Linked DNA regions of Drosophila melanogaster. Changing the gene in region 1 together with any one later gene gives a genetic interaction. Each region holds a gene or a part of one and is shown on either strand. Other genes may lie near its edges.

What was found.
Region 2: of Orai (region 1) and Itpr, changing one suppresses a phenotype caused by changing the other (phenotypic suppression), as found in Drosophila melanogaster (one study listed by BioGRID).
Region 3: of Orai (region 1) and Rala, changing one suppresses a phenotype caused by changing the other (phenotypic suppression), as found in Drosophila melanogaster (one study listed by BioGRID).
Region 4: of Orai (region 1) and kn, changing one suppresses a phenotype caused by changing the other (phenotypic suppression), as found in Drosophila melanogaster (one study listed by BioGRID).

What each region holds. Positions count from the first base shown.
Region 1 is NT_033778.4:17,847,021-17,855,238, forward strand, and holds the start of Orai (orai), read left to right. Parts: upstream 1-3,841; 5' UTR 3,842-4,077; coding exon of another isoform or gene 4,078-4,440; intron 4,441-6,274; exon of another isoform or gene 6,275-6,320; coding exon of another isoform or gene 6,321-7,241; exon of another isoform or gene 7,242-7,276; intron 7,277-8,119; 5' UTR 8,120-8,218. Other genes in the region: olf186-M, read left to right, coding at 412-1,176; CG30323 (uncharacterized protein), read left to right, coding at 6,321-7,241. UniProt on the Drosophila melanogaster protein: Pore-forming subunit of inward rectifying Ca(2+) release-activated Ca(2+) (CRAC) channels.
Region 2 is NT_033777.3:5,515,162-5,523,580, reverse strand, and holds the start of Itpr (inositol 1,4,5,-trisphosphate receptor), read right to left. Parts: upstream 6,465-8,419; 5' UTR 5,693-6,464; intron 1,283-5,692; exon of another isoform or gene 1,124-1,282; coding exon of another isoform or gene 923-1,123; exon of another isoform or gene 461-922; intron 403-460; exon of another isoform or gene 253-402; intron 1-252. Other genes in the region: CG43845 (uncharacterized protein), read left to right, coding at 923-1,123; Nmdar1 (NMDA receptor 1), read left to right, coding at 7,193-7,369, 7,441-7,563. UniProt on the Drosophila melanogaster protein: Receptor for inositol 1,4,5-trisphosphate, a second messenger that mediates the release of intracellular calcium. Together with MCU, has a role in oxidative stress-induced ER-mitochondria calcium transfer.
Region 3 is NC_004354.4:3,715,349-3,723,346, forward strand, and holds the start of Rala (Ras-like protein A), read right to left. Parts: upstream 4,288-7,998; 5' UTR 4,015-4,287; intron 1,320-4,014; exon of another isoform or gene 1,124-1,319; intron 1-1,123.
Region 4 is NT_033778.4:14,802,493-14,810,519, forward strand, and holds the start of kn (knot), read right to left. Parts: upstream 4,570-8,027; coding exon 4,358-4,569; intron 1-4,357. Other genes in the region: hui (hase und igel), read left to right, coding at 6,091-6,151, 6,782-7,031, 7,094-7,391. UniProt on the Drosophila melanogaster protein: May act as a 'second-level regulator' of head patterning. Required for establishment of the PS(-1)/PS0 parasegmental border and formation of the intercalary segment.

The DNA.
Region 1 (8,218 bases):
CAAACAGACAAACACACAAATACGGCAAATGCGAACAGCAACAACAAATTAACAGAAACTCGCGGAATATAGAAAAACACGTTTCCACAAAAAGGCGATCGGAGCGAAAAAAAAACAAAAAGCAAAAAAACAATTTAGCTAAATAACAACAAATAACACAAATTGTCATCGCTTTTGTTATTTCGAATACGATACTTGCGCACACGCATTTGAAATTAAAGGCCCTGATTCTGGCCATTACCAAATATGTCCAAAAGCCGAGCTTGAATCGAGATCGCGGCGAGTCGAGCAGCAGCTAGCTTGTAACCCGAGCAGCCGTGACCACAGAAAACTCATTGCAGATACTAGATATCCGCACAGTAGATATACATACATACATATATAACCCACTATCCATATATACCGTACGCCATGGAACGTTCGCACAGCTGTAGCAATTTCGAGGGCAGGACGGGAGCCAAGGTCATCGTTGGCGCAGTGGAGCAATTGGCCGGCAGCAGTGAGCACCTGCCCAGCGTCCACTTTCCGCCCAGCAAGCCGCTGCGCAGGCGCAGAAAATTGCAGCGACAGCAGAGTGCCGTCGATACGGATGACATGGAATATGCCGCCGATCTGGAGGAGAATGCCGATCCGGATGCACATGAGCATATGTCGCCCGTCGTCACCATGCCCATGCGCCATATATCTGCCACCAGTACGCGTTGCCTGCGCCACGAGGAGTCCTTTGAGTCATCCAGCACGGCGCCCGAACTGAGTCCGCAGGCGCAGAGGCAACAGCGCTTCAGTAGTCTGCTCCTGCGTGACAGCTCCGTATCCGTGCAGTCGGACTCGAGTCGATATTCCAGCGTGGACAGCTTGCTGGAGGCACGCAAGCCAGATCCCGAGGCCATACTCATCAACCTGGGCTTTGGACCGCTCAGCTCCGAGGATATGCTGTCGCGGATACCGCGGAGGTTTCTGAAGCCCTCGCAAGTGCCTGGCATCGATACGGATGCCTTTGTGCAAAGACTGACTCTGGCGCGATCCCTGGCCGATTCGAGTGTTCTGGGCTATAGGGGTCTAACCGGAAATCCGGACATGCCGCCCTCCTCAATTGTGGCCAGCATTATGAAGCGATTCGAGGTCAATCATCATAGGAAAAACTCCATGGGCTCCATTAAGCCCAGCATACAATAGAGCCCTTTGAATTCTTAGCCATACAACATAAGATAGTCAGCCAAATAGAGGACTTTCGCTTACGTTAATTGTTGCCAAGCGGGGTTATGGGTGACCTTTGACCTGTGACCCATGTGATCATCTTGTCTTGTCCATTAGTCATTACAAGTGCCGCGTACTTAGCTGTTTAACTGTACTATTGTATTATTATCAACTATTGTGAACTTGTTTTAAGCATGTATTAAAGATGATATTTTATGAGACATTTTAAGCATTTGGCGTTTCTGTTTCTTATATTTATGATTATGGTTTTATTCTAAGGCGGCAGGTTTAAAGGCCTACAATTTACATAAAACATGAGCAGATTGCGGTCTGCAGCAGATGTTTATTTACAAAACAAAACAATAGCTTAAGCATTCCAGTTTCAAAAGATACGTACGAATCGATTGAGAATGTTCACGTTTCCAAGAAAATAAACCAGAAGTTTCCATTTCAAACACAATACGCAATAATTGCCGTTCAGTTAAGGGGACTTTGTAACTGGTCAAAAGTTACACAGAGTATTTAATTAAGCAGAGCTTTCCCGCGTTATATAATTAGCACCAATAAAAACATTTAAGGTAAACAAGATTTCAAGAGTATTTCAAGTATTATTTGAGTTCGCTTCCAAGAAATCGCCGTTTCTCCAAACTCTCGACTTCAAAATGCGAAATGTGCGTCACAATTCATTTTCGATGATTGTTTATGTACATATGTATGTACATACATATATTGTAGTTGAACAAATCTATTTGCGATATAAGTACATATTTACATACATCTTAGTACACCCGAAGTTCACAGACACACATTCATGGTGTTGGCATTGTTTGTGATTTTTTTGTTTTTCTTCTTATCTAAAGTCGGTTTCTGAGCGAAGTTTTATTAATAGCCAAATGACTTGGCATCTTGAGTCGCTTGCCCCAAGCGGGGGAAACAATAAATATGTACTTAAATGTACATAAATCGGGTACAGCTGGGAATTGAAAGACCCATAAGGGATTACAAAGTCTGCGGCACTCGGATCGCTTATTGATTTCAATTGCCCGCAATTGTTTACATTCACAAGTCAAGATTCAAATTCAAGACGTGCTAACCACGGGAGCAGGGCATGCAAAAATATTGTTTGCTCCACATGTGTATTATTATTATTATTATTATTGGGCCCTAACCCCTCTCGCTGACCCGCTTATTCGGATGCCAAACAAATATGGTATAGCCGCCTGATAACCGATAATGGCATTTGCGCACATTTGTAACACCTTCAAGGCGACGCACGGTTCACAAGGAATTTCTAATACGTCCGCATACAGCTACGGACAGACGTATAGGTTAAGTTAGGGAATATCGATGATATTTATAATTCATTTGAATAACCTTTTTTTTTCCAGCAAACCGTTTTGTTAAAAGTTAGTGTGAAGGATAATTTTATAGTTACAACACTATCGTTTAAAAAACTTTTAGATCTTTTTTCAGTTCTACTTGTTGGTTTCCTTGAAACTGTTGTATTTTGCCGAAAGAGATTTTAGTTATGGGTGCAGAAAAGTATGCACTAAAAATATAGCTCAAAATTCTAATCAGAACTGCTTATGTTAAAAGCCATCATTATTCTTTATAGACTAAAATAATATTTGTAACCTATAATCTTTTTTTTTGAGATTTTTATAAACAAAGAAGATATTGAAAACATTTACCACTTAACATTCCATTCCTGCAGGTGTTTTACAATAATATAAATTTTGTTTTTAAAGAGTGTTTTTTAGCCTGCAGAGCTAACATTTATAGATTATCATGTCATGCGGCGTTAATTATGAGTTTTTTAAGAAGATTTGTATATCGGTCATTTATGGTTTAGCCCCTATTATTTTGGCCGCGACTGTTACTATGCATACATGGATATATGGATGTACATACTTACATACGTGAGTGCTCGCGCTTTGGGCATATCCAATAGATAACGGTTCTAGGTCTGTTCATCGGCACATGACTCGCTTTAAATTAATTAAAATTAATTCCCAAAGCAAACCACAGAACAAGCAAAGAATAAGGGGTGGAAAAGCGAAGAAAGCCACTTGCGAAACTGTGGGTGTGAATATTAGAAGACTGACAGAGAAGGCGAATAGCACAGTTATGCGAGAACCATACCGCACTCCTCGCACTCATTCAAAATTTGCAAGTTCAAGGCGGATAACAAAAAAAAAGCACAGAAAGAGTAGCGACAGATGCAATGTGCATACACATATATGTAAATGCGTATGTACATATGTTAGTACACGGGCAGACCAAGAATAAAATAATTGAGGACTACGCCGGAAGAATGTGAAAGAAAATTAGCAAACCAAAACGGCAAGAGAGCTGTTTTTGCAAGAGCAAGAAATAGGAAAAGAACCGAACAACTGCTATCGGCAATTTGAAATGTGTGTCAGGGCGTAAAGTTCTGCAAACGATTTGATTAATTTATGTGACTTAGGGGGCGTATGATTAATTAGCCTGTGTCGCTTACCAATTACTAAATATAAAATCACTAACACAGTAAGCCACAAATATTTCGATCTCACAGAAATTTGGCGCCTTTTGCTTTAAAATATCGGTAACAGCTGATGGCAGGGCTGGCAGCACTAGTGCAATCGATAGATCGATATGTTGGCGTCACGCGTTAGGTCATTTCATACATGCACACAAGTAAAGCATCGAAATGCTGTTGAATTAATTTGTTTTTTGTTTAGTTTACTTTCAAACCTCGCCGATCGTACTTAATTAGCACCTTATATTTGCGACGTGTCGAATTGCCTAACTTATTTTGTTACTCTTTTGCTTGCCTGTTTTTCCGTGCACCATGGCAGACGTACTTAAATCCGCAGGAGAAATCGCTAGCCAAAAATCATGTCTGTGTGGACCACGGCCAACAATTCGGGCCTAGAGACGCCAACAAAGTCGCCGATCACGTCGTCGGTTCCGCGGGCAGCGAGAAGTTCTGCAGTGATCACCACTGGAAATCACCAGCAGCACCACTTCCAGCACGTTGTGGCCGCCGCCGTTGCAGCCGCCACTTCAGTGGCCACCGGTCATCAGTTCCAGCAACAGTTCCCGCTGCACGCACATCCGCATCCACAGCACCACAGCAACAGTCCCACGGGTAGCGGCAGCAACAGCAACAACAGCGCAGGTTTCCAGCGCACCAGCATCAGCAACTCGCTGCTGCAGTTCCCGCCGCCCCCGCCCCCTTCCTCACAGAACCAGGCGAAGGTAAGTCCAATAACAAATCAATTCCCCAATCTCCTATCTCTGTCTACCAGAACTTTCCCCACTCCCACGACCCCAATCTTAAAGCGATGCTATGGAAGCTGCTCTCTCGCAACTCTCTCTATCTCTCTGTTTCCACCTTCTCCACTCACTATCTCTCTCACACGCTGACAATGGGCGCATTCAGCAGTTTAATCACGGCTCTGTGATCATGTAAGCTGTGATCGGTGATCGGTCACGAGATTTATATCATATAAAATGTAGATCGACTTTTAAGATTATTTAGTAAAAATTCAGAAGGAATTTCAATCATGAAACTTATTTACCGTACTCATGCCATTAATTAGTTTACTTTTTAATATTCTCTTTTGTGTGATTACCGTTAGAAAATTTCCCAATCAAAATAAAGCGAAGAAAGCGCAATGACATTTGCTGAGTGGGCTGCCAGATTTAATATGTACATTCTACATAATTTAGCTGAAGCTATATTTAGGTGTCTAAAAACGATATAAAAAGGACATAAACTAATTTGTTGTACAACAAGTATTATTTGTTAGTCAGTTGGCCGAAATGAGAATGCCAATATTTGGTATAAAAACTTTCAAGTTTGCTGTCTGTCGATAGTGATTGAAAACAATAAACTTTTATTAAAATTAGTTATTTGAAACACGGTCGATTAACATTTTTCAGTGAGTAAGTCGGATATATATTTATATATTTTACGAATCCTCGTATATTTGCGAAAATATGTTCTTCCGAAAACGGTGATAAATAAATCGGACTTCTAATCGCTGAGTCCCATTATAAATCACGTATTACTCATATCCCCGAATTCGCGAGACTCTGCTGAATGCGCCCGTTTGATTAAGCCACGCAATCTGACACATAAACACGGCCTACGTTTCAAGTCGAACCAGATCACACAGACACTCGAAAGTACACACACAACGCAACGCACATGCATACGTATAAATCACAGGTATGACGACTGAGTTAACTGCCAAACCTGCTGAATTATTGAACAGTGTTGTTTTTGGCGAACAGCACTGACAATGAAATTGCAAATGGTCATGGAAATATTGTAGAACCCGGCGTCTAATTGGCTCCAAGAGTTGTACGTTTCTCTTATCGCGTCTGCTGTTCTTTTGTTTGTTCGCTATTTTTTATTTTGTTTTATTTAACCGGCGATAATAAATACACGCACCCACCCATCGAGCTGCAAAGAAATGGAGGTGCTTCTTGGGTCGGCGTCTCTGAAATCCAGGTGTGTGTTTGCATACGAATTTTGCCAGTGAAAATGAAACAACAACCGCCAGCTGACACCTTCTGTTTTTTGTGCTGCTTTATCGGCTGGGACTTATGTCTTATGTATTTTTACTCACATTTTTTAAGTGGTTACATTTTGTTTATTCTGGAGGAAACGCAAGCAAACTGGTTCCATTTGACAGGCCAAGTTATTATTAACATTAGCCAGATTCGTATTTGTTTATGGCCAAAAAAGGAAGGCACTTTCCATCTCGATGGATTCAGTTGTATCGACTTGTTTGGTTTCCCTGCGATCAGCTATATTAAATTTTAGTTTAATAATTTTTTGTACATTTGTGTTGGTTTTCAATTTCAACAGCATGATCCTCGTGCCATATGTTTTCCATAAAAATGCGATAAAAGATAGAGAAAACAATTGTGTTTATTTGTTCAATAGTTTTTCGACGTTTCAAAAGAGTATGCAAAAACTGCTGCTTGGACCATAGAACTTGTATTAAAAGTTTAGAGAATAGTAATTCTTGTATAAATTCCCACAAAAACTAAGTTGCTGTTGATTACTTTGTCAACTTTATCTGTAAAAAAAAAGCTATTCATATGTACCATCCGCCTTATTTGGGATGCAGTTCCTCCTCCTGCTTCTTCTGACCTCATCTGCGTATTCAAATGAAGGGAAGAAGGGGCTTCAGAGGAACCTCTACGTAACGGACAATTATCACCAGAATGTGGTGTCTATACGAACGCGCAAACACATTCGCCATTGGGGTGATAACCACTTCTGTGCCGGCTCTCTGCTCTCCGCCTGGTGGGTCGTCACCTCCGGCTGTTGTGTGAGCACCAGGCCGGAGAGCACCCCAAACCAGCCGAGTAATCGCAAGAATCTAAGGGTTGTCGTCTTCACGCCCAAGCGATTGAAAAAGCCATCTCCCAAGAACATATACCACGTGCAGAAGATTGTGTTGGACGAGTCCGCCATAAGTGGGTGCACAGAATTGGCTCTGCTGAAGCTGGATCGCGGCGTTACTGGCCAAAGGTTTGCCATGATGCTGCCGGAAAAGGAGTTGAATAGCACTTGGCTTTGCAACTCTCTCGGATGGGGCAGGATTTACTACGTAAGTTATGTATATATATCTGCGATGTGCCCCGCATTCAGCATGGTGTATGATAACCCAGTTACTTGGTTCCAGGACGGACCCTACTCAAGCGAGCTTATTCAAATCAGAGCTCAAAAGATTTCGGAGTATGAGTGCAAGCCTGACTGCAGCAGATGCCTGTGCATGACTAGCTATACGGGCAGGGGCAATATGTGCCAGCAGGACTTGGGCAGTCCACTCTTTTGCGATCACTTCCTGTACGGCGTGGCGCGTCGGGTGCACACCTGCGATGATGAGGGCTTCATGTTTTACACCAATATCTATCAAAACCGCAAATTTATCGAGGACACCTTGAGTGGCGCAACCTGGCCAAAAAGAGTCCTATGTTTTCGTCTACTTCTACTTCTACTGGTGTTAGCGTCGCTTTCGGTAGTTTCATCTGATTGAATATGATATTTCAAACAGGAAAGCACAGGATACATTCTACATATTTAAAGGACTATATACAGTAGATCTCAAAATATCTATAATGAAGTACTGACTCATTTTTTTTTAAATAGTTTCTGACTTCAGTTTAATAATGTCAATAAGCGGTGTTACCACCTACTCGTACTCTTGTCGTAGGATATTGACCCACAATATGGTTTTTTAGAGCATTGTGTCCGTGAATTCGAGTGACTTTTCGTCTGTGAATTGGATCTTGATTGAATCTCGATAGTTGAAGTTCAGGGTCGTCGTGTGTGCGTGTGTTTAATCACTCGATTTGTCTTCCCCATTCATCAGTTTGATGATCGCTGATCGATTGCCAAAAGTAGCAGCAGACACTAGCCCCTAGCCCTTACCAACCGCCCCGTTTCCCCTTCTCACCCACTCACCTTGTTACTTTTTGTTTTCCTGTAGTTTTGGTTTCGCCTCTTTCGATTCTTTTACTGTCTGGTAGCTAGCTCTCTTTCCGTTTCTATTCCTTACCCACTCTCTCTTTAAACGCTTTCATTGAAATGGTTGTTTTGTACAGTGCAACTTCACTAACCCGAACTTTTGCTAGTCCTACTGAATAACTATAATTAAAAAAAAATCTTACCAATGAAAATTAGTATATTATTAGAAGCATTTTTTTTTAAATTACAAAATTATTTTTAAAGTAGTTTATATTTGTTGTATCTTTTGGCGTATTTCGTTGTTTTCTTTTAATTTTCGGTAAATGTATCTATATTTCTTCTGTCGTAGATTGTTATGTTTTTATATAAGTTCGTTGCTTGGGAGGCTTTACTGTCATAGTTCGATTGCCATTATAGTAGCTGTTGTTGTTTTTTGTGTCATCGCAGGCAGGCCGCACCGTTCAAATTGATTGTCGAATTTGAATATACGTCGTCGTCGCCGCCGCTCACCGCCGGTGCTTACCGCTCTGGGCAGAGCCGCCGTAT
Region 2 (8,419 bases), on another chromosome or scaffold:
GCAGACGTCAATGTCGGCGCTGGCATCGCGGCAGCAGCGCAGCGGCCGCGCTGCGTGCGGCGGCAGTCAGCTGACCGAAATCGCGGGCGACGCCAAACAGCTGAGAGGCAAAGAGAGAGGGCCGCTCTCCGGGCAGAAGTTGTTTACATGTCACAGCGCAGGCGTGGCTCAGCTTTGGTCCAGCTTGGAAAGCTCCTTCGGGGAGCTTAAAGCACAAAAGTTAAGGAATTTTCGGAGGAGCCCAGACGATTTTTTTAGTAGACGAGCAACGCGCAAAGCGCCACGTTGTCCTTCACAGCCCCGGAAAAGCAAGGAAGGAAAAGCGGAAAAGCCAGGCGTCGCGTTGAGCGGGCGTCGAAAAGTAGGCAATACAGCTCTAGCTGCCTGCTGCCTGGTGCCACGGTGCGTATGCGAGATGTGATGCCAGTGAAATCCGATACGGAAAGCTCATTCTGAGCGAAAATTGTCAGTGAATCAAAATTAACAGATATTACGGAAATACCGCTAGTTCGACACAGTTTAAAACAACCAAAAATTGTCAGTGAAAACAGGGAAACAAAGGGATAAAAGTTCGTACCGTGTGCGTGTGATAAAAGTTCCCTCTCTGTGTGTGTGTGTGCGAGTGGGTCTGTGAGAGTGTATGTGCGCGCAAAAAGAATAGAGAAAGCAAAGCATCCCGAAGGAGTGGCACACAAAGTGTTTGCATAACTTAACTCGCGATAACCACCCACCAATAACTTGATTAAATGCCCCGAAATCTCGACGAAGGCAAGGACTGAAGAAATGGATATGCGGAAAGGACATCCACGGTGGTGAAGTAAAGCAATGAGTTTCAGGGCATGCCCGAGTCCGCAAGTGACCCCAAATAGTTTTCAGTGTGGCGTTCGTCAATTGAGGCGTGGTCGCGCCAATCCATTTTGTCATGGATTCCGTCCAGACAGCCCAGTGTATAGTGTGTTCCGTCGTCGTTTGCGTCCTGCTCATCATCGCGGGCTTCCTCATTTTCATCCTCAGTGTGTTTGCCTTTGCACCCCTCGTGGATAAGATGCAGCTCCGCCTTATAGAGGACATCAATGTGACCACCACGGAGAGGGATCCCATTCTCGATTACGACTATGGCTGAGCCGGAGGCAACACTTTCCCTGGACTTGTTCAGTTTTTTATTGAAGATTTCTCAAGATATTCTGCCTAAGGATTGACTTTGTACTCATTTTAAATATACTATTTTCCGTGTAGGTCAATTAGTGGATGAGTTATAAATACACGTGTGCAAGTGTCTCCTAATTAATATTTAATATGGTAATTGGTTACCATAGGATTATCTAGTATAAGACATACGATATACATATGTATGCTAAACACAGGTACATATATAATCAGTACAATGGATATACAGGATATACATCTAATCCTCAGAGGATACGAATATTCCGTTGAGCAAACAAAAATAATTCTCGAATCCTTTCCTTTGTTTGACCTACCTAAATCTAAATAGTTTTTCAAGCCCATCGAATTTTTGGGCATTAGGCACTTAAGCAACAATAAACCGAATGGGAAACTTCGGGGCAGTGAGCCACATCAATGTGCAATGCTTGAAATCATGCACAGAATGGCCCAAACCCGCCATGCTCCCACCTCGCCTCATGTCCGGACTGTCATCTAGCCGACGGATTGGGATCCAGTGGAGCAAGGCGGAATACGTACATCTGTTTCGCAATTCGTGTGTGAAAAATGCCCCCGAAAATTGCCTACGGAGAGATGCGGCAATGTACACAAAATATAAAATGGAAAATGGGAATCGCCCACAAAGCACCACGAATGTCGGAGCTGCGAGTCAGGCGGAGGAGGGACATCGTCGACTTGGTTATTGGCTTAGAATGCTTTCCCGGCTGAGCCGCACACACACGGCTGGACAACAATGAACAGTGAATGGGGAAAGTGGCAGGACGGGATTGGCATGGGCAGGAGCAAAAGGGATAAAGGTCACAGCAACAGGGCGTGAGTGCGAGGGAACGAGTCGGTTGAAGGGCGACAGAGTTTGGTTCAAAGTTTCGGGTCCTTTTGTCAAAGCTTTTGTCTGCGGTCGAGTCCTTGGAGAGTCCTCTGCCTGCCTGCTAGCCTGCTTTCCGGATCGCACATAAAACAATTCCCGTCTACGGAGGCCATATTAAATTATCTTGAATTGGCCAGCGGGAGAAATTACCGGACATCCGCCCGGCGACCTGATATTGCCCCAATTGAGCTCTAACCGCTTTACGGCGGAGTCAAACAATCTGAACCCCTCTTGCGGTTGCATTGGTTGTTCATTGGCAACTATTGCTGCTTGGAATCGCTACCTGTGTGCCTGTGCGGCTGGATCCCAGATTCGAAAACCACTGCAAATATTTCAGCGAGGCATCATCAAATGCGAGCCGCCGTTGAGCATGATGCTCTCATTGTTGTCAGCCTGTCAGTTCGAATTACGCTGAAGCCGGCGAAGCCACCGCCCGCGGTTCCACCCACTGCTCCATAGCCCTCCTTCGCTCCTCTATCATCAGCTCCATGCACCAGCGCCACATTCAATGGAGCCCGCAATCTGCAATCCCCGCATACGCTGCACTAACACGAAAATTGAATAAAATGCCATGGCCGGCACGTTCGCTATGTTAAATAGTTGAACAAAAACTCACGAGGGAAATTCTCCAAGGGCTCTGCCGACGTTGGAATGCCCTTTCAATTGAAAGAATTGAAATATCTTGCGTGCTTATATTATGCTAAATATTTTCTATTTACATTAGTTCGGCACGATTTCAAGTGGCTTGTTACTCCCAATTTTATTCGTTGATTTATAGAAGTAATCTTGCATTATACTATTTATGTAGAATTTATACTGCTTTCCCATAGAGACGTCAAATCGCGAATACCCTAACCCCTCAACTCAAAGTTCATTAACTGGCGTATTAATGGACATGCGAAAATTCGAATGGCGAGCAAATCGAAGTGTGAAATTCATAAGAAAACTTGTCGAAAGTATAACCCATGTCTGATGACATATATACCACGTTTTTTATATGTACATAGTATAGTTGATAGTATATATTGAATGTTTGTTCGATACGTTTCATTTGGGAATTTTGCTGCCCTTAACAAAACAGAGTGAGTGAGAGTAACAGCTTTCCTTGGGGAAATTCGGTGCGCTGTTCGTCCATCTGGATGCTGGGAGCTTTGAAACTGTGGGGGTTGATCAAATATTTATGGGGATTAATAGAATATGAGATCAGACGGACGGCGAAGTGAGAGTGAAGTGAGAATCCTTTAAGAACCATTTAACATGAGTAATGAGTAATGCAGGGCACATGTGCTGAGCGCGCCTTTCAACAATTTGGCCATTCATTAAAAGTCTGGGCCCTGTCTGGTGGCTCAAAGCAATTGAAAAGCCAAGAGACCTCGGCCCACCTGAGCAGAAAAAACGTGAAGCACACAGATACTCACACAATCACACCAGACTGGCGCTGATGAGAACACTTTGCTTCTCATCCAGTCTGCTTCATTGATAACACCCGACCTCCGCATCCGAACAAACACACACACACCCTTAATAATTGCAGCCAAGTGGGCTGTGCACATCGGATGGGCGGGGGGCGGGCGCTTATATTTTATTTGCAGCTCCAGAATGTCGCTTACACAATTTGCCTGTTTATGTTAATTGCTGGCGCTCCCAGGCGCCAACCCCGGCCACTTTACCGCCCCCCCTTCCACAAAATCCCCACCAGCTGCTCAATTCAGCTTCGAATTATGCACATGCTCATGGCAAGCCCACATAAATTGGAGCAAACACACGATTGTGGTCAAAAAAATAAGCATACCTGAGAATCTTCAATGTGTTTTATTTATTTAATGTAATATCTTTGTGGTCAGTTTGTTTAAATGGTGACAAGTGGCAAAACTGAACAAATTTGGCTGGTTGGTAAAATTTATTGATTAAAAATCATGCACAAACGTTATCAGTATGTCAAATGCAATTATACGACAACTTTTGGAGAATTATCAACTACAGTTGAGGGATTCTGAGAGAATAACAAAAACAAATTGTGAATTTTTTAACTCTTTATATTAAAATTGATGACATCTGAATCGTGGTTAAAGAGAAAATAGTTGTCAAGTTCCAACTTTTTTTTTTAAATATACATATATAATTGCACAAAAACATAATAATCAAAAAAATTTTAATACTATACCGAACTAGCGTTTAAAAATTAGAATATATATGTACATTTTCTAGCCGGTTGATCAAAGTACCCGCAAATGACATCTCAATTGACTGGTTATCTTCAATAAATGAAACTCACTGCACATACTATCTATTGGTCCCATTGATTGTATAATTTAGTAATTTGTTCGACATTATAATGTGAATATAATTGATCGTAATTGTGTGATCATAGGCCCATTAACCCAATCATGATTACATGCAAATCAAGAAGTAGTGAAGTGCGCTCTTTCAATCGCAACAAAAAAACTTGGCCAGAGAGGAATTTGGCGATGAAAAGCCATTTTTTTACCCCAGGTAATGGAAATCATCGCGTGCAGCAGGCTCAACACGTCCACTTTTCATCCCCCTCCCCCATCTTTTTTGGTATCCCTCATCTTGCCTCTTACTCTATAGCTCGCCACCTGCCCAGTCAACACCAACAACAATGTGGCGCTTAATTAAGCACGCGTCGCCCAGTCAGCATCTCTCTTTCTCTCTCTCCCTTTCGCTCTCTCTCTCTTTTCCGCTGTCTGCAATCAAGATGTGTGCACTGAGAGAAAATATCGGCGCTAAGTTGATTTTCTCGAACGCAGATGCATTCAGTTCAGAGGACGTCAAGTGAGAAATTTCCAAAAGTGATTTGCATAACTTTAGGAACTGACAAAGAAATATTAGGATTAAAAAAATCCAAACTTTTCTCGAAACTGTGGGCGTGACTGTTTTGAACGGTTTGTGGGCGTTAGAGTGGGCGCGGACGTTGTGAATTAAACTTGCACATCTAGATTTTATAGATCCCGAAATCTCGATCTGATCAATAATATATGTATCCGGTATACCCTTTCACTCTACGAGTAAATACGAGTTTTAATTATGACTATGTTACTTCGTCATTATAATTCTTAAACACTCCCATTTGAAGAATTTTTGTATAACAACAAACAATCCCTCTCACCACAAAACAATTTTGGAAAGCATCACGTTCATATACATAGTGGCTTGAGTTGAAATCAACACTTGACTTCGGAGTTGATTCCCTAAGGATTTATTTATATTTTGTTTGAGTAGCTGGCATAGAACCATACCCCCGATAAGCAAATGTCTTCAATCAGTGGGATTTATATGTTTTTTCCTTAGCTTTTCTATTCGTGTAAGCAACAAATAGTGGCCACTGCAACGTAATTGAATCTCAGCGCATTTCTGGCCCTTTCGCTTTGGCTTATTGTCAATTATTGAGCGAAAGCAAGAGGCAAGAACGAAATCAAAATCAAGTGGGATCAAAAGGCGAGGGCGTGACTGCTAGATAATAGCTATCGCGGTAATTAGCCTATCGGTTCGGTCGTGATAGGCTTATTGCCTTATGACCTACTTAAATTGGTGGCAAGCCCTTCGGGAAACCAGAAAAACCAGTAACTGGGCTCGATTGGCAACAGGTTGTCGTTGTCGTTGTCGTGGGATACTCACCGTAGAATGTATGTAATGTAAAATATCCCTTGTAGAGATGTGCTACTGTATTGTGATTGGTATTGAATCATCCGTCGATAGACGACGATCGTAAATCGAATTTGACTTTATATTTATTTTATTCAAATGCAAACACTCGCGGGCACTCGAAAGAACTTAATATATTTTCACCTTGAGTGGGCCGCACTTAGCCGCGGAAAAGAGAGAATAACAATAAGTGGGAATACGGTGAGGAGGAAGAAGAAGGCCCAGAAACCACACACAATAACAATAACAATGCCGGGGCAGCGACGTCGGCAGAGGAGGTTTTGTCAATAAGAAATAACCGTTAAAACACGCGACAAACAATTCCGGCTGCGGGAAAGAGAGGCAGCATGCGATACAACGTCAACAATCGGCTCTCCCGACCCCACGATCCCGTTGACCACCCACAAGCAGCGCAGTCGCAGCGCAGCAGCAGCGCGGGCAAACAAAACGATTGTCGATTTCTACGCACTTTTCCCAATCACGCACACACACCCACACACGCACGTCGCGTTTAGGCCAACAAATTGAAATTGGCCAGCATTTCGGGCATAAATTACGCGCTCAAGGCGTATGAAAATGCAATTTTCCAGAGCGCCGCGTCATGCGCGACTTCGTGTACCGTACCGCTCAGCTCCTCCGTCTCCCTCACTCCAACGAAGTGCCAGCGCAGCGCAGATAAGGCGGACCGACGCGGAAAACCCCAGCGAAAACACGTCCGACTGAAAGCGCGGTCGAGCAACAAGTGTTTAAAAACCGTCGAACCATATGATCGATTAGTGTGACCGCGCGAAAAATACTAGTTAGCCGTTAATAAATGGTGTAATTGACATCTTAACTGTTTTATGCACACATATATAGAATTATTGACAGTAACACGTTAATTGCATTTACTATTGACAAGGAATGACATAAGCAAGTGTTTGAAAACCGCAGAACCAACCATATGATAAATTAGATGGGAGCGCATGGATAAAATACTAACATACTCTAAATACTAGTTAGCATGGCAGCACAGGGTAGAGATTTGAATCTTATTCAAATATTCATAGTTTTTTAGTCATCTGTGCTTGAAAATTCCAGATCAATGTTGATAGATTGGCCGAGGATTAAAATCTTTCCACTCATCGACTCACATACTTAGATTTTGCTTCTAATGCCTATTAACACAATGAAATGGTCACTCTAACGATCTTGCGTTGGTATTCATTTTTTCGCGATCTGGCATTACCACATATGTAAGAAAACACCGCGAATTCAAAGTTCTGCTTTTTCAAAAATGAGCAAAATAAACTTTAAGAAATCTTGTCTTTGACCATTCTCATTGCTGCAATGGGAAATGGAAAATGCCATTAATATGCGGCATCTCCCCTTTTCGACTTGCAGAAAATGCTGGATGTTTGCTCGAGAAACCATTGAAATCGTTGCACAAAACACCTCGTTTATCCTCCCCCAGAAACTATAGACTTCCGCATCATGGCTATGGCTGAGTTTGTTTTTTGCCGGCCATTGTTTGGGCTCGCCATTGTTCTCCTGGTGGCGCCAATTGATGCCGCCCAGAGGCACACTGCCTCGGATAATCCCTCGACGTACAACATTGGCGGCGTACTGAGCAATTCCGACAGCGAGGAGCACTTTAGCACCACAATAAAGGCAAGCCCATTGACTAACTGGATGCTCCACTAATCCGAATGCGATAATCACGCTTTCCCATCCAACCGCAGCACCTCAACTTCGATCAGCAGTATGTGCCGCGGAAGGTCACCTACTACGACAAAACCATCCGCATGGACAAGAATCCCATCAAGACGGTCTTCAATGTGTGCGACAAGCTCATCGAGAATCGGGTAAGTCGGTGGCCAAATGCAATTACCTGCTCATTTCCGACCATTCCTCCATCGCTTGAAGCTGCTCACATACTCGTATCTGTGTTTAACCCGACCTGGTTCGATTCATTTCCATAATTTAAGGGGAAATGATTCGGAAATGGGATGATGACAAGCGGTAATGCGCCAGCAGAATCCAATATCCATGAGCTAACCAACTGGAGCTCTTAGAGCGAAAGAGTGCTTAAATGTGCAAATTGAACTATAATTATACAATATTACTTTAAATGCGTTTTGTTGTTATGAACCAGGTTTGCAGAATGATATATAGAAGGAGTTTGTAGGGGTTTGGTTATTAGAAAGCTAAGATTTATAATCATAATTATCTTTTTAATTATTGATGGTCTTTAGTTGAGCTAAGTGATTTACAATATTGTCTACTATTTGGCAACATTAAAGTATTATCGGTACTTATTTGTCACTTATTCTAAATAAAAATATATAATATTACAAACTGGGTACAAATGTAAAGAACCATTCAAATGAAATAAGTGATTTCATCGCACTGTACTCATGTACAATGAAGGAAATCACAAAACTGGATTCTTGTGCAATAAATTATCGCTGTTATGCACAAAAAGGTGTCCATAAAATCCTAATGACGAAGAGCACTTCGGCACTTAAAGTGCAATGCACCTTTCAGTGTGAGACTTCGTCACTTAAAGCTGAAACTCTTTTTGCCGGCAAACTTGTTGGCTTGCCATTTTGATTATCTTTGCTTTCCATCCATCACATTTCCCATATTATGCCACATTTATCATGAGCGTCTCTGTCGCTGTGGGATGCCATCCCAAGCAGAAGCCCACGCCCATTGGAC
Region 3 (7,998 bases), on another chromosome or scaffold:
TAGAGCGCTGAAAATGTTTATGGGAAACGCTGGAACGCTTTTATGGCCTCAAACCTAAAAATATTAAAAAAAAAAAACCAAAAAACCTATATATGTAAATTAGCCACGCCCCCTATTTTCTGCCAAGTTTGTTGCCCCTTTTTTTATGTGTTTTGATGCGCCATTGGCGGAATTTGCAACCAAGTGCAGCGCTTTTCCTTGTCGCCGCTTTTATCTCTTGTATTTCAATTCATTTACACTTTTTGTGCTGCATTCTGCAAAGCGAAGAGGCGTGATTTTGTGTAACTTCCGCACAAGATTAAGTTCAATAAACCGCCACATGTGCGAAAAAAAAAGAAGCGAAATCCACGCATATTATTGTCTCTGTCTGTTTTCCCCAACTTGTCATCGCAACTTCTATGACTTTGTGTGGGAATTTTGTGTTTCAGTCTTTTTATTCTAAATTTTTTTTTTTTTTCTGTGCTTTTTTTTGTACATCATTAAATGCAGGTCTGACTGAGATGGTTGTTGGAAGAGTAGAAGAGCACACAACAACGGAGCACAGAGTGCATTAATCAAGCAGAAAAGAAATCCCAGCGAGTGAACTTTTCTTACTTCATTGAGGAGATGGCTGCCATTCCGCCGTTAGATCAGTTCAATGCACTTTTGCGATTAGGGCAAATCACACTGACACAAAAACCCATGCATATGCATATATGTATAAAACGTGGAACGAAAGGCATCGACATTGGAATGCAATATTTTCCAGATGAGTCATAATGCATAATTATTTAAATCTGTGGCATTTAATCGACGATTTCAACGCCGCTGCGCAGTCGCGTGCAACGCTGTCAATGTCAAGTTGACAGGCAAATATGTTTTAAATGAAGTTGCATAGTAAGCATAATACAAACATTTATAAAAATTCTTGCATTTCAAGGACTTAAATGCCCAAATATATTTATTCGGATCGATATAGTGTTGATCAGTTGATATTAATCAGTATAGTATTGAAAAGCAAACAGTATTGATAAGACTGAAAATATTTCTAGATACTTTCTCATACTTTCTCAGCGTTATTCTCGTGATATGCGACTGGTTTCTGCGGCCCTGACACTTTGAACTTTTATACATTTTCACTTACCCCTGCCAGAAACTGCAGAGTATTTGTTAGCCTGAGAAAGTGTTGGGTAAAACTTGTTCATTTGATGTACATTTGTTACAACTTTCTTTGGACAAGCCGAGGAAAACTTGTCAAGCGAACTGCGTGGCTCAGACTCATTTACAAAGTGTTTTTATTTGGCCGAGCAAGTTTGATCTGCCTTTGCAGATAGCGATACCTAAAAAAAAAAAAAAAAAAAAAACTAAAAACTTATTTCACACCGAGTGGTATATGAAAAATAGGTACATATATGTACGAACAATGCGTGGGAAGTGTTTTCTGAAGCGAGGAGAGCATAATTAAAACCTAGGCATAGTCAGCTGTGATAAAAGATCTTGAAATGCGATGGAGCAACAACAAAAGCCATGGGGAAACACTTGAGAGCCTGGGCATAAAACAAATAAAACCTGTATAAGGCAAATGTGTTGAGAGAACTTTGGAGATGCTGATACGATGATGTAACAAACTAAAGTCAGCTAACAAATATGTGATTGCGCGCGCGACTTTGTCAAGAATCGTTTGTTGGAAGAAATCTCAAGATTTTCAAATGTTAAATGCTTTACAAACGGATATCGTAGATCGTTGGTAACGGGCGATTAATCATTTAATTGGAAAATAACAAAGTCATTACACGTATTTAATGCACAATTCATTGATAATCAGGTATATAAAACGTATTTTGAAGACATTCGGCAGACATATTTGGCCATTATGGACAATTATCATCAAGTGTGTATAACTTTTGCATTAGGCCAACATTATTATTCGTAGAAAACAAACTTTAATGTTGGCCATAATGGACTTGGCCTAGAAGAAACATAGAAATAGAACCCATTTCCGTGATTTGTCTCCCTTGACAAAACTCCATTAGAAGTGAAATTAGAGCAAATCACAGCTTGATGGCTATAAATTAGGCTAAGTTGGCCGACTTGCGCTATCTTCTCCCTTCTGGCCAAGTTAGCAAACATGCCGGAGATGCCGAACAAAAGATGAGAAAACTACATATATACCAAAAACTGTGTCACTGCGAAAGATCGTGAAGATTATGAGTCAGTGTTTTCAACTCTATTGTTAATCTATTCTCGCCTGCCAGAGAATTATATTTGAAAAGGTCAGAGGTGAAACAGCTAACAAATTGCTCGGCTATATCTTGCAAATAATGTAAGATTTTGTTTACACTTTTGATAACGATTAAATTTCTCTGGAATATGAATGGCTCATATTCTACAGACCGATCTGAAATCAAAACTGGTTTCGCATTTTGTAAATAATAAGGCAAACTACACAAAGAGCAGTTATTGATTATTTAAGCACTCAGTTTTAAAGGAACTGAGAACGCATTTTTTTTTGACATACTTCAGCTATTCACTTCCCCCCGTTCGCATTTCGTTCAATTGGTGAGAGCTTTTAACGCCCCTTGGCAACCAAACAAACAAACAAATAATTAGGAAATGTTGGTGAAAGGGGGAAAGGGGTCAACACATACGATTAAGTGAGTCATAGATAAATGAAATTATTCAATATAAAACAAGCTGGCACTCAAATTGATCTTGAACTTGAGCCTAATTAGAAACTGTAAAACCATTTTTCTGTGTCACGTTTTTCAGTTTTCCTCATTTGCTTTAGGCGTGTTGGATAAAAAGATGGAACATTCAGATGCGCATAAAGTTGAAGCGGATTAACTAACGATCACCATCATGATGATCTAACGCTAATGTCAAAATGGTTCTCCGATTAGCAACAGAACCCGAAAATCGGCACGTTCGTGGAGATAATGAGAAATGGGGAAAGGGAAAGATGGTAGCGGAAAACGGGTCACTGTGAGAAAATAACGCCACAGAGCGAATGCCATCAAAAGCGATCTCACAAAATAACAGAGATTAAAACCAGACACCGTTTCTGCGAATTTTCTTGCATTTCAAACGACAATTTTCGAGTGCCAAAGAAGGTTCTTAGAAATTCGAAATATGTGATTAATGAAGAAATGTGCTTAATAAACTTGTCATTTAAAAAAAAACTCAACTGTATTTAACTGTTGGTTAAATAATATTTGTATAATGTTAAATTATTACTAATACTTGGGAAAATTCGGCAAATGTTATTTAGAGCGGCGTAAACGAGATCCCAAAGCGGAATTGGGATAAAGAGAAGTTTAAAAAGCAAAGGGGCGATGGGGGCGTGTGCGTGCTTGCTTGTGTGTGTGTGTTTGTGTGTATGAGTCAACGCGCAAAATGCGGGCGGCGACTGCACCTTGCACACCCCGCAAAAAGAGAGGGCGATAAAGCAGGAGAGAGCGGCAGCGAGAGCGAGAGAGAATAAGGTCAAGCGGGGTGCGGCAACAAATATTTCTGCTGATAGCCGTTGATAAAAGGCTCTCGCCGCCCTTCTCCTTTTCTTTCTCTCTCTCTCTCTATCTCTCGCTCTCCGTGTGCTCATCAGTCCGCTCCTTTCCTTTATTTTGCTGAATGGAGCACACACACAAAAATGCCAAGCGCAATACCTTTTATTTAGTTTACATTTAAATATTCAACAAAGCAAATAGCAGCAGAAAGATTTCACTGCTGAGTTTTTTTTTCACCTCTTGCTTTGCTCACACACATATACACACACACACACACACATCCACTTTCTTCGACGTCGACTGCAACGCCGGCAGCGGCGCCTTTTGGCGGCTTTTACAAATTTTGTTTATGAAACAAAAAACCCCTGTGTATATTCCTTTCTGGGATTTCATCGGTGTATACACCCAGATAAAAAGAAAGAATCTTTCCACACGGCAGACATCATGAAGAACAACATACGAAATATGCGTAATCACTCTATAATGCTTTAGCTGTAAATGCTTTTGCTTCTCTTTCCTCCTTTTTGCGTACTTCGTTTTCTTCCTTCCTTTTTATTGTATTTTGCGCGTCCGCTTTGGCCTGTCGCTTCGTTTGTTGTTGCTTTGCTGTGTTATCTCGCACTTGATGCACTAAACTAAACAAAAAAGTTACAGGCGCGATCGGAGAATCGGCAACTGATGAATTAACAGGATCGGAACGCAACAGTAAATTGGCTGCTTTTCGGTTTCTCTTCTCGTTCGCCGCACACCGCAATTAAAGTTCCGTTGGTTTTGCTTGCTTGAAAGAAACTAGTGTGAAAGTGGAAAAATACCACAGAGGTGCACCAATGTGACCGCTCTGCCATCGATCAATTATACCAAGCACAAGCATCACTAAGAATAACACAAAAATACCAATAAGTTCCGTCTTATATTGAGGTGGGTGTGATCGCTAAGGCTGGTGGGTGTACTCGCTTTGCTGGTTGATGTACTCGATAGGCGAGCGAGCGAGTTGTGCACTCGCTGGCGAGCGGTTTAAGTATCCGATAACTATGGTTGGTGCACACGCTAAGTAACAAGTGACCGCTAAACTGCTACTTTAACAGACACAACTGTGCATGTTAAGCGCACTCATCGTTCCGCCAGATGGCTTCTTTGCACACTCGTTTCGGTATTTTTTTTACACCAACTTACAGTATATTTTTAGGCCATTTCTGCGTGTGTGCGTTCGTGTGAATATTGTGAATATTTTTTTTACTGTGAAAATAGACAAAAATCGGCTGTGGAAAACCGAAGTAAACACATTTGGGAATCATGGCGATTGGCCCTTAACCTTAACCCTTAAGTGTCGTGCCGACAGTGCCACGCCACAAACCCAAATCCCAAAGAAACAAAAGCGAAAGAAAAAAAAAAAAGAACAACAAAAAGCTATAGTTGCAGCCTCTGAAAGTTTAAGACAATCGCCGATCCGATCGGAAGCGGAAGATATATGCTCGCCACACCAAATGGCATGGTAAACACCTCTCGTTCCTCTAAATGTGATGTCGATGTCGGAAAAGCCGTAGAAATCGTACAATTCCTAAAATCGCAAACTTAACCTCGCAGCGTTGTGTGCAAAAACGGAGAGGGGTGGGGGGGAAACAACGGAAAAAAAAGGCAACGCAAAGCAAAGCAAACGAAAAGCGAAGCGTGTGCGAGCGAGAGGCGAGTGAATAGCATTGTTGTTATTGTTGTAGTGACTTTTATTTTATCTCAGCCGGCGATTTAATTCTCTCGCACTCACACATATTCACGCGAATAAAAGTAAATTCAAATAAATACACTCGCAAAAACAAATTGGCACCGGTAACAATTCAAAAAAACTTATGCACATGTGTGTATGTGTGTGTGTGTGTGTGTGTGTGCACTTAGGAGCAGTTGGAGGCGTGGCATGTGTGTATGCCAATTAGTACGGCTAGTTGTTGGGTCGTTCATTTTGCTCCTTCCCGCTATCAGACTCGCTCTTTGCCCTGCATTTTCTCGCCGAGTGCAAAAGGAAAATAACAAAAAACCTCACTCCAATTGGAGATTCGAGATGCCGATCTCTAAAGCGCAGGCAGGGCAACAACAAAAGCGCCAAGAAGAAGACGGAAAAGGGAAAGATTCGAACTAAAACCTATTGGGATTTCATCTTGGAACATTAACCCTTAGGCGGGCTGAAATGTTGTTTAAATCATATTGAGAAATTTCCCAATAAAAGCGTATTGCATTTAAAAGGATGCCAAGTTTTTCAATTATACAAGTGTAGTTTATGAGCGTGTTTTTAATGAAATACCTAAACATGGCCAGGTTTTGGCAAAACCTCTGCTTGCATTCAATTATAGCACACACAATTATTTCACTGAAACTCAATTGATAATACAATACATATTTGGTAATTTCTTGTTTGCTGCTATGAGCAAAACAAAAACGTTGATAAGATGAAATGCCTTTAGATAGGGGCCTTTATATAAGCCACACAGTGCGTGCTAAAAATATGCATGTGGCAAATTAGTGATATTAAATTGTTATTTATTAATTTTTTCAGATGAATTTGTCACTTTATTATTGCCATGGCTCTGACAAATCTTGTCGCACTCGTTGCCGACATTTGCAATCGATCAATATTAAAATATTGAATAACTAAACCAACCACGAGCTAAAAGAAAAATTTCAGAAAAACTTTTGTATCTGAATCGAAAACAAAAAAAAAAACAAATTCCTATCGGCGCTTATAATCACAAAGTAATGGATCAATTTCAAACTTCACTAAATCCGCGGAAACTCGAGCTTCTGGAGTCTCGAATTACTGGAGTGCGGGTAAGTGCGAATGATATTGTAGAATTTATATTTATTTATTTATATGAACAAATACAAAGTATGTTATTTTTTATGTAATGCCTGGGCTATTTTGCTTCTTTTCAATTTGGTTCGCCATTATTGAGTTGGCCCCCTTATTCGCCCCCCAAATTCTCGCTGTGTATGACGTCGCATAGATCGCCGCGATTGGCTGTCAATGGGCTGGCCCCTGGGGCCGTCGAAGGGTTAATGGCAAACGGTTATTGCACTTTGGAACTTTTCTTGTTTCGTCGAGATGCACATGCAGATGCAGTTGTTGTTGCAGATGCTTTTCCGAAGTTTTTGCCCCTTAATGTTTTCTTTTTTGCACTTCTTTCTTGGCTTTGTGCCGCTTTGAAGCGCAAGAGGAGGTATGAAAATGTGGAAAAAAGCGAAAATAAATTAGCATCGGCGGATGGGTGAAGAGAGAATAAGAGAAACAGAGAAATTGGGAGGAAAATGGGTAAAATTGTTGGGATAATGCAAAGATGTGGTTGTGTGTGTGTGTGTTTCTGTGATGGGCGTTGGGGGGGGGGGGGGGTGTGGAGTTTGTTGGGGGAAGATGTGGTATGGTAGCCACCCAACCCTTGTTCACCACCCCACCCCTTTATTACACCCACTTCTGAGCTGCTCTTCTATGGCGCACACACCAAAACAAATCGCCCAGGCAGTTTGTATTCAATTCATATTGAAAGCAACTCAATGACCCTAACTCAAGGGTTTTTTTTTTTAATTTAGAGCCTTATTGTACCTTGGACTACAGCTCAGAATATATTTGTGGATTCGATTTGATTCAATAGCATGGTGTCACCCTTTTTTTGTCAGTGTAGGACTTAATCGCAGCACTACCACAGACGCACACATGGTCCTCACCTTGTCGCTGCAGCATGTTGTTGTTGTTGTCAACATTTCGTCACACACACACACACACAAGCACAGCCAATACATAAATGCACGGCACTAGCTGTACATAAGAGCACATAAAGATGGGACCACGGACACATACATAGGCATATTCGCACCACCCACCTGAGAAACTCTCGGAATGCCTGTACACCACCCACTTTTCTTTTTTTTGGTCTATTTGGTTTTTTCGGGCACTGCTGCTTTCCTTTTTGCATTCTGCCACGTCTCTGCTCTTTATTTTTCAGTGTATTGGTATGAAAGTGCAAATAAAAGAACAGCTGACAGAAGATTCAGCGGAGAAAGCCCGTTTCAATAGCAAAAGTGGCACTAATATTCAACAATTTTTTGTTTGAAAATTTAAATATTTTGTTTAATATACGGTATTTAATGTCTGTTACCTGTAAAATTTGTTACTAGCCATATCTGGTGATAAATGTACAAGCATTGCTATTTCGCTGACTGCGAAATGCTTTTCAAATATCGGCGGCCCATAACGAGATATCGATAACAGCGGGAAAACAGAAAGCGAAAATAACAGCGTGCAATGCACTTCCGCATGTTACTAACATTGCCACTGACGTTTCGCCTGCTGTCTCTCTCTCTCCCTTTATTTTTTGCCATTCTTTTAGCTTTACTCTTCCTCGCGCTCTCTCGCCCTCTCTTTTGCTCACTCTTTTAATGTGGTCGTAGGTCGGGCGCTGTTCGCTCTGCCAGCGTCGACGTCGCCGTTCCTCCTGTTTATTTTTCTTTCAAGGAAAGTCCAAACGAATAAAAA
Region 4 (8,027 bases), 3.0 Mb from region 1:
AATTATTTTTCAGTCTGGCCAAATATGTGGAATCCAACGCATCAAATGCGAGATTGGAAAAGTGCGGTTGGTTCATTAACTTTGGCGCGACCAAAGATCGATTTGTGGCCAAAAATAGTTAGCCAAAATACACAAAAATAAGAGAAGTTAAGGAAACTTAAGTTGGTTAAGCAAATCAATAAATTCAAAGAGATCTACTTGATTTAAAATTGTACATACTTGATTTGAAGTTGTATGTTTTCAAGTAGTTTGCATTTAATCAAATTCCAAGTTGAAGTTTCCCCAAAATATGCTGTAAATACTTCGATGTTAACTTTTATGAGCTGCTTGTCGGCGAAGAGGAATTCATGCATCTCATTTGGGGTTTTAGTGCAGCTCCCCGAGGGGCAAACCCTGCCCATTTTCCATTTCCCACTCCTCGGCCACCTGGAGAAGCGTGTCAGCATTGGGGATCCTCTGGAGAACCACAAAAACGCGAACCCACTCCTCGCTCTCAAGTAGTAGAGAAATTGTGGAATGAGCTGCGACACATTTACTAGATTAATTAGCTCATTTACGGTTGACAATGTCCGTGTTAATTCCCCAAGAATTAAATGATAACATCATACGAAGTGGACGAAAAAGGTGTTCTACGTGTCAATGAAATGGCTTGGCAAATGCTCGATGACACTAATACGTTTGTTTGTAGGGGGTTTTCTCTTCGTTTTTTTTTTTTGTAGGGGTAGTAGTATCTGAAGTGCAGACGATTTGCATAATTCGAAGGACCAGCAAAGGACGCACCCTTCGCTATCCAAACGCCCAGCTAGTTTGAACCACTCACACCTTCCCTGATCATCTTTTCTGCACCCCATCTTTATATGTTCCAACTCCCCCTTTTCCGAATACACAGACGGAAAATATTCATTAGTTATAATAAATTAAGACCAGAACAAAGGAAAATATATTTTAAAATACTAGAATAATGCTTAGAAACTAAAGAACTGCAAGATCTCGCTTGTAAAGGGTTTCCTAGTTTCACTCAAAAAATGTTGCAAAGATCGAAAATCGATCGTGTAAATCATAGGTTATATTAAATTTCTCTCAGTGCACTTAGGCACAAATATAATTTGACTTCATTATGCGAACAGTTGTTGCCTTTAGTTTTGGTAATTTATTTCAATTTTTTCAGTCCTCCGTTGCTCGAGACTGCCGTGGGCAGTAAGGGGTTAATGCTCCTGCAGTGCAACCCCTGTAATAAATAAATATCTAGGTCCTGCAAATGTTCATTTAACTGAAGTATGTGTGTGTCTGTGTGTGTGTGTGGGGAAAATGTCTCAAATGTTTTGCTGCCGCTGCCATTGTTGCAATTGTAATTTGTTTTTATTGTCGCTTGTTGTTTGAAGAATGAGTATTCCGGGTGTGGCCATAAAGATGATTCTCTTTAGTCACATCAAAAATGTTGCTAGGCTAGAAAAGAACTAGCCTATCACAACATGGATGCCAGCATTCCTAATTAATTTTTGTGAAATTTTCAAATCTCATCGGACCCCCAAAAAGAATGTGGAAGGAAGAAGCTGGCAGCAGGACTAAGGAAATCCCGAGGGGGCGACCTTTTTGGCCTTTTTGGTCTCAGTGTCGGCCACAAACAAGCTGGCTAACAAACAAAAACAAACAAGAAAACTGGTAGCAGAATAACGGTACCGGTCTTGGGCGTGTTTCGATACTGGACATCTGCACTTTTGGTCAGACATTTTGGAAAACAAGGATATTGACATATTATCTTCGTCTCATTCTCAAAGGTTTCTCCGTAAACTTAACAGCCAATCCCATTCGCAATCCACTCGAAACTTCAGTTTTGTGGTCCTGCTCTAAAGGACATAACCATGCATATAAATTTGATTATTATTAAGTCGGGCACATTAGTGAGCATTTCTAATGAATGGAATCGAGTCGAGCAGATCCTTGTGCCCGAAAAAAGGGTCAGCCCACAGACACACACCCAACCACCGTCACATACGAGCTTGTTAAAGCCAATTTATAAATACTCAGGTTTATGGTTTTAAGTACTTAAATATTTAGCACACTTCTTGGCCTCAGACTGTAGCTCTCCCTCTCTCTCTCTCTCTAAGGTTATATACACCTCTCTTTCTCCACGTGTGTGAGGCTTTTATTTATAATTTATGCGTCCGCAGGGCGACACTCATTCGGTTGCGAGTGGGTGTGGGCATGAGTGCACTCATTAAGCAAAGGATGTCCTTAAAGGTAAATGAGCAAATTTAATTTAAGCTTTATTTTTACCATATTTTGGTGAATGGATACAAATGCTCCTTAAGATCTATTAATAATATATATCTTCTGATATATGCACCATTTTTGTAATACAATAGTAAGTATCACTCATGATTAATAACCGAAACATCTTTTCCCCAATTAGGTAACACAAAATGAGCAAATTCAATCGCGCTAAGTGCTATATAGACCAATTTCCTCTTTTCAACCGCCCCCAATTCAAATTTTTGAAGAACATTATGCGCTGCCATCGAAGTGACCTGATTAATGAAGCCATTTCGATTCCGTTGTTCAGCTTAGCGATTTCAATTATCGGACATGTTAGGCGGGGTTGCACTTACCAGGGGGGGTGGCTGGTTGCATGGGCGGTGCAGACGACCGCCGATTAGCACGTGCCACTCGTTCCGAGCAAAATCGCAGGAAGCTAACCAAAACGCAAGGACACGTGGCAGGAGCGCAGCTTCCAAAGATAAACATAATTATGCAATACGAGGGGGAATAGCAACGGAAAGTTGGCCAATCTGATAACACGCAACGAGATTTGTCATCATCAAACAAAGTGGGCGTGAAAATTGCGGATGAAAAGCAGCCAGGGGTTCTGATCGGCAGGAAGGAAGCGACGATGTAAGGATGCAAAAAGGACACGACGCAATGCTTCCTGCCCGGATGCAATCATGTCCGAGGCGTGTGCGCGAAATATCCTTTGTTTGCGTTTCCCAGGACTCGGAAAAGCGGTACGACAGTAAAGCAGTCGGAAATAATTGCACAGCAGTCAGGATAATAAAGATACTCGCGGTCCAAGTACATTATCGAAATTGATACGCCAGCTATACTATCTGGCGCATATGCTAGTCGAAGTAGCTATATATCCTGAGGGGGCGGAGTAGGCTGGCTATTCCAATTCGCGATTCAGGTCGCGTTTGTTCGCCACCAACCTCAATGCATTTCACTTTGTCGTTGACTATCCACATACACTGCGATAAAATAGCACATCTATTCTGTGGATAAGTTTTCTTTAGAGTAACAAGTTACCTATAAAAGAGTCCTTTAAACACATTCTTACTTAATCCCTTAACCTAAGCAAACTAGGAAATTAGCTAATTATTTTCCAGTGTAACTTCAATTTGTCTGACCATCACGTAGTTCATCAGGCAGCCTTCTTTCAGCCTTTTGTCCTTGTTTCGCATTAAAGTTTCATTTGGCCGAGGCCACTTGGCATGCGGCAGCGTCACTTTTGACCTGGCTGAAAGGATACTAATCATAGCACTGCCTCCATGAGCAACGTTCTCGGCACATCCTCATCAGGCTGATTGCGAAAAATCACTGGAGAAATCAAGCGAGGTTCGTGATTCCATACTGACATATTTGGTGAAGTGGATTTGGAGTGGTTTTCCCAACCCACACATTCAAGTGACAATCACAGTCAAATTTTTTCGACTCTTTTGTGTATTTTTAGGCGAAAAAACAGAAAAACCATGAAAATCAATTTCGCTTGAGGGAGGTTGAAGCTAAAAAGCATATTGTCATTTGGTCAACCCACACCAACATATCTGAAACATTAAACAGATTTGGCCTTCCGATTTGGTTATATTATTTCCTTCAGCTGTTTCAATAATTCATATTTTTCGCTGATCCCCAGAGAGATGCAGGAAAATTATTAACGAAGGCCAAAGAAAATCAAATTGAACTTTATTTGCTCTTTAAATAGTTGGTTTTATATGTTTTAAGTTGAGTGTCGATAGCAGGGAAGTGGTAAAAATTTAAACAAAATAGTTGGCCGTAAATCAGACGGAAAGTGAGGCCAGTTTTGGCACTTTGGCCAGGATCTAATACCCATGTCCTGTTTGGCGATGAAAAAGGGGGCGGTGCTTCGTGTCCCAAGTCGGCTGTCAAACATAATCACCTTGCACCCCCCCCCCCCCCTCTCCATCCCAGAAGTTCTATTCTCAAAGGAAATTTATGTTTTTTATATGGACGGCGGAGCAGAGACAAAAGTCTGTGTGTGAATGAAATATATTATTTTGCTTTTTACCCGCCCTGCTCTTTCATTTTTTAACACATTTTGTAATTTCAACACGTTGCCACGTACCGCAAAAGTTTCTTCCACTCCAAAATGTCCACCAATTGCAATGCCGCCTGTCCACCACTCGGACTCGGACTTGGATCTGGACTCGGATGATTAATGGTTCCGGGTATTCCGGGACAGGCTCCGAGTTGGCTGGGCCAAATAATAAATCGTTCAAATCGGCTGGGGATTATTTTTCCTAGTAGGCGGCGGTCAGCATTTTGCTCTGTCACCATTTTTGCGAGAAAAAGAATGGAATTTTTCCTTGACTTTTTCGTATTCAATATTTGTACATATTTTTGCCAACGAACGTGTGCGAAATTCAAAAATACTTCTGCACAACAAATGGCAACAAATTTGTGGATTTCAATTAGATTAATATAAATCTAAGGAATTGAATTTTTTCATGTGTTCAAAAGAAAAAAAACGGAATTAAGGTGGTAGATTGGCTTAAGTAGTGCGTGAAAAATTGGTAATATTTTACTGAAAAAAGTACATATGTCTATTTAATTGTACTTGTTAGAAATACCCTACTTCTATCAGCAAAACGTGCAAAATGTGTATATGCAATATAATTTGTGTTGCACAACTTGTCTTCAATTATTTCTTGATTGATCAAAGCCTTAGATTTATTTTAGGCAATTAAAAACAATAATCCCCAAATAACCGGTTAATTGAAAGGATTTCCTGGAATATACATATATGATAATGTAAAATTAAATAACAAAATTTGTTTTCATTTCGTCGAGCAAGATCAATCGAAAATCCCATCAAAACCAGTTTTGTTTCAAACAGATGGAGCGGTAAAACCGAGCGAGGCATAATATTATTAAAATTCACAAAATATTATAATTAGTGGACGCATGCCAGCCATTAAACAAATGAGTATATATAGTTTAGCTTTATGATCGGCAATGTATGTATAATGCATAATATTTCTCTGAAACTCCGTTTGTTAGGTGTTGGCCACGTTGTAATCAGGTTATTGCCCCAAGCCCAAGAGAAGAAGTTCGAGAAGTTCTTTATTGCCAAAAACACGAATCGGGTCAAAAGCAGAGCTCAAGGCGCAGACTGGGTACAAAAAAAGTACAATAAGAAAAAGCGAGGGCACTTGGCCAATTTACACGAGCTGGCCAAAACAGTTTGGCGTTCGAATATATAATGCGAAATACAAATAAAGTGAAAACAAACAGAACAGAAATTCCCCGTTGGCGCTTCGCTGCTTCGTCATGTGTTTATTTCCCATAATCATTAACTTTTTGGGTGGATTTATATGTGAGATAAACTCTGCTGCAGAGAGGGGAAATTAACTGAGAGATGTGATAGTATTTAACCTTATGAATCATTGAGCCTAACTTTACGTTTATGAGCCACAGCCAGAGGTTTTAAGAAACTTTAAATGCCTGCCTCTTGTTTTTTTTTCTGTATTTGTTTATTGTTCAGTCTACCTACCGGTGGAGTTATTTGCCCAACTCTTCTGCCTGTTTGACGGCTTCTGCTTGTTCTTCCAGCTTTAGATGATAATGATGTAGATGGTTCGCACTGCGTCAGCATTCGAAATTTCCATATATAAGCGCTAGGGAGCCGCACCGCGAGCTTAGTCGTTTTGGAACTTTTCACGCGTTCGCTGCCTCAGTCTTTCGTTTCGTCTTTGTGAGTGCTTAACCGCAGATAGGCCCCTCTGCATACCCCTAACCGCTGAATTAACCCTACTAAGTGACGAAGTGTGTGTTCTTACAGATCCATACCGCTTCACAATGAAGTACGCTGTGATTGCCATCGCTTTGTTTGCGATTACTACCGCTTCGGCCTCTTCCGGTGAGCAAAAAAGCAAATTTGAGTATAATTTGAGGAGAGCTTAAGCCGGATTGTGCACTTACATCATCGCTAGTCGGAGCTGCTATCGTGTTTATTATTAATTGAATTAACAAGTCGGTCGACGGGTGCTAGTATGTTAATAATACCCAAAAACCTATCGAACCCATCCGGAAACCCAAACTGGTTTGTGAAATTCGCGTAGCTCATTAACTTTGCGACAATGTTTGTCCAGCAAAACTTTCCGCACAACAAATTCGCTTTTTATTACGATTCCTAAAATATGGCTATTCAAAATCAGCATTACGTTTGATTATTCACGCGATCGCTGAGTGGACAAACTTTCACACTCAAAAAAGAAATTGCCATTGTTGAATGTTTGAGATTTATAAGCATACTTTTGGGATTAGCATTATCATAAAAAACTTGGAATAAATCTGCATGGTATATATGCTAAGTATATGTAATTATTCAAAGGTTTTCATAATATTAAAAATAAATTCAATAGTAAAAGTTCATAAAATATTTAATCGTGGTAAATAAGGGCGAGATGTGAACGAAATCTAAGCTTTAAAGCTATATTCATAGATTTCAGATACTTATCGCTGAATTCATTGCTCTTTATTCATACAGCTGGCCAGTTTCTGCCCCGTGCCTTCTTCACCTTGGACTCGGAGGGCCACCAGTCGAATGTCCATCCCGTGAATGCCCATCTCCTGAGGCGTCTGCGTCGTCAGTCCAGTTCGTCTTCCTCGTCATCATCCTCCTCGTCCTCCAGTGGAGGAAACGTCTTCACCTACGCCTCACACAGCGTTCAGAATGCCGATGGCTCCGGTCATTCTGGCTCCTCTTACACCCAGCAGGCCGCTGCTCCAGTGCTTGGGTGAGTTAACTGGAAAATGAGGACTTCTATTGATGATCACTAATGATCGTTTTAATTTCCAGTGGTGTGTCCTTTGATGAGCGTTTCGGCGAGAGCTCCTTAACTGGAGGCGACAACTATTATCCCACCTACAATGGCTACACCAGCGCAGCCTCCATCAGCAGCAACAGCGGAGTAGGAAGCACCGGTAGCTATCAGCACATCTCCGGAGTTGGACCCATTCCCGCCACCCAAATCCAGCAGACCGTGGCCGTTGTCGATGCCAGTGGCAACCAGAAGGTGACCAACATCCAGGGTGCCACCGATTCCAACGGCGTTCTCAATATCAAGAAGACCGAATCCACTTACTCATCCAAATAGAACATAGGTTTTTTTTCGAGTGTAAACTTTAATAAATTACAGTAAATTAACTGACACGGTGCCTTCTTAACAGGATATTTGTTATGAACTCAGAAATAAGAGCTCGCAAAGAACTTTGCTTTTTTCGCTTGCCATTTGGTTTGTGGGATTAATTGCTTCCAATTGGGCGCACTGCCACGCCCCTTGCAGATGTCGCAGTGTATTCATTGCGGTTTCCGCATCTGAAGTGTTCTTTTTTTGTTTTGCCCACTCTAGATGATTGCATCCCACATACCATATCTTAAAAGTTCCATCCTGTAACCTGCATCTGCATCCTATATCCTTCATCCTCTTTCACTTCGCAGCAAAAAGTGATGGATGTTTCGAATGAACCAGGGGCGTACCAGGGTTTCGGTTCAAGGGGATCAATACGAATATGCACAATGTAGTCAGTAGAGTTAAAGAATCGAAAGAAAATAATTAAAGATGTTGCCTTTTAAAAACCCTTTAACCATCACAAAAGACAAAACAAGTTACAAAACATTAGTAGCACTTCCGAAATGTTTACTTGACTTATAGGAAATTTTCAATAATGTTAGTATATTTCAGAATTTCATTATACCTTTGTTTAGTTTTTTTACTTTCTATAATCTTCAA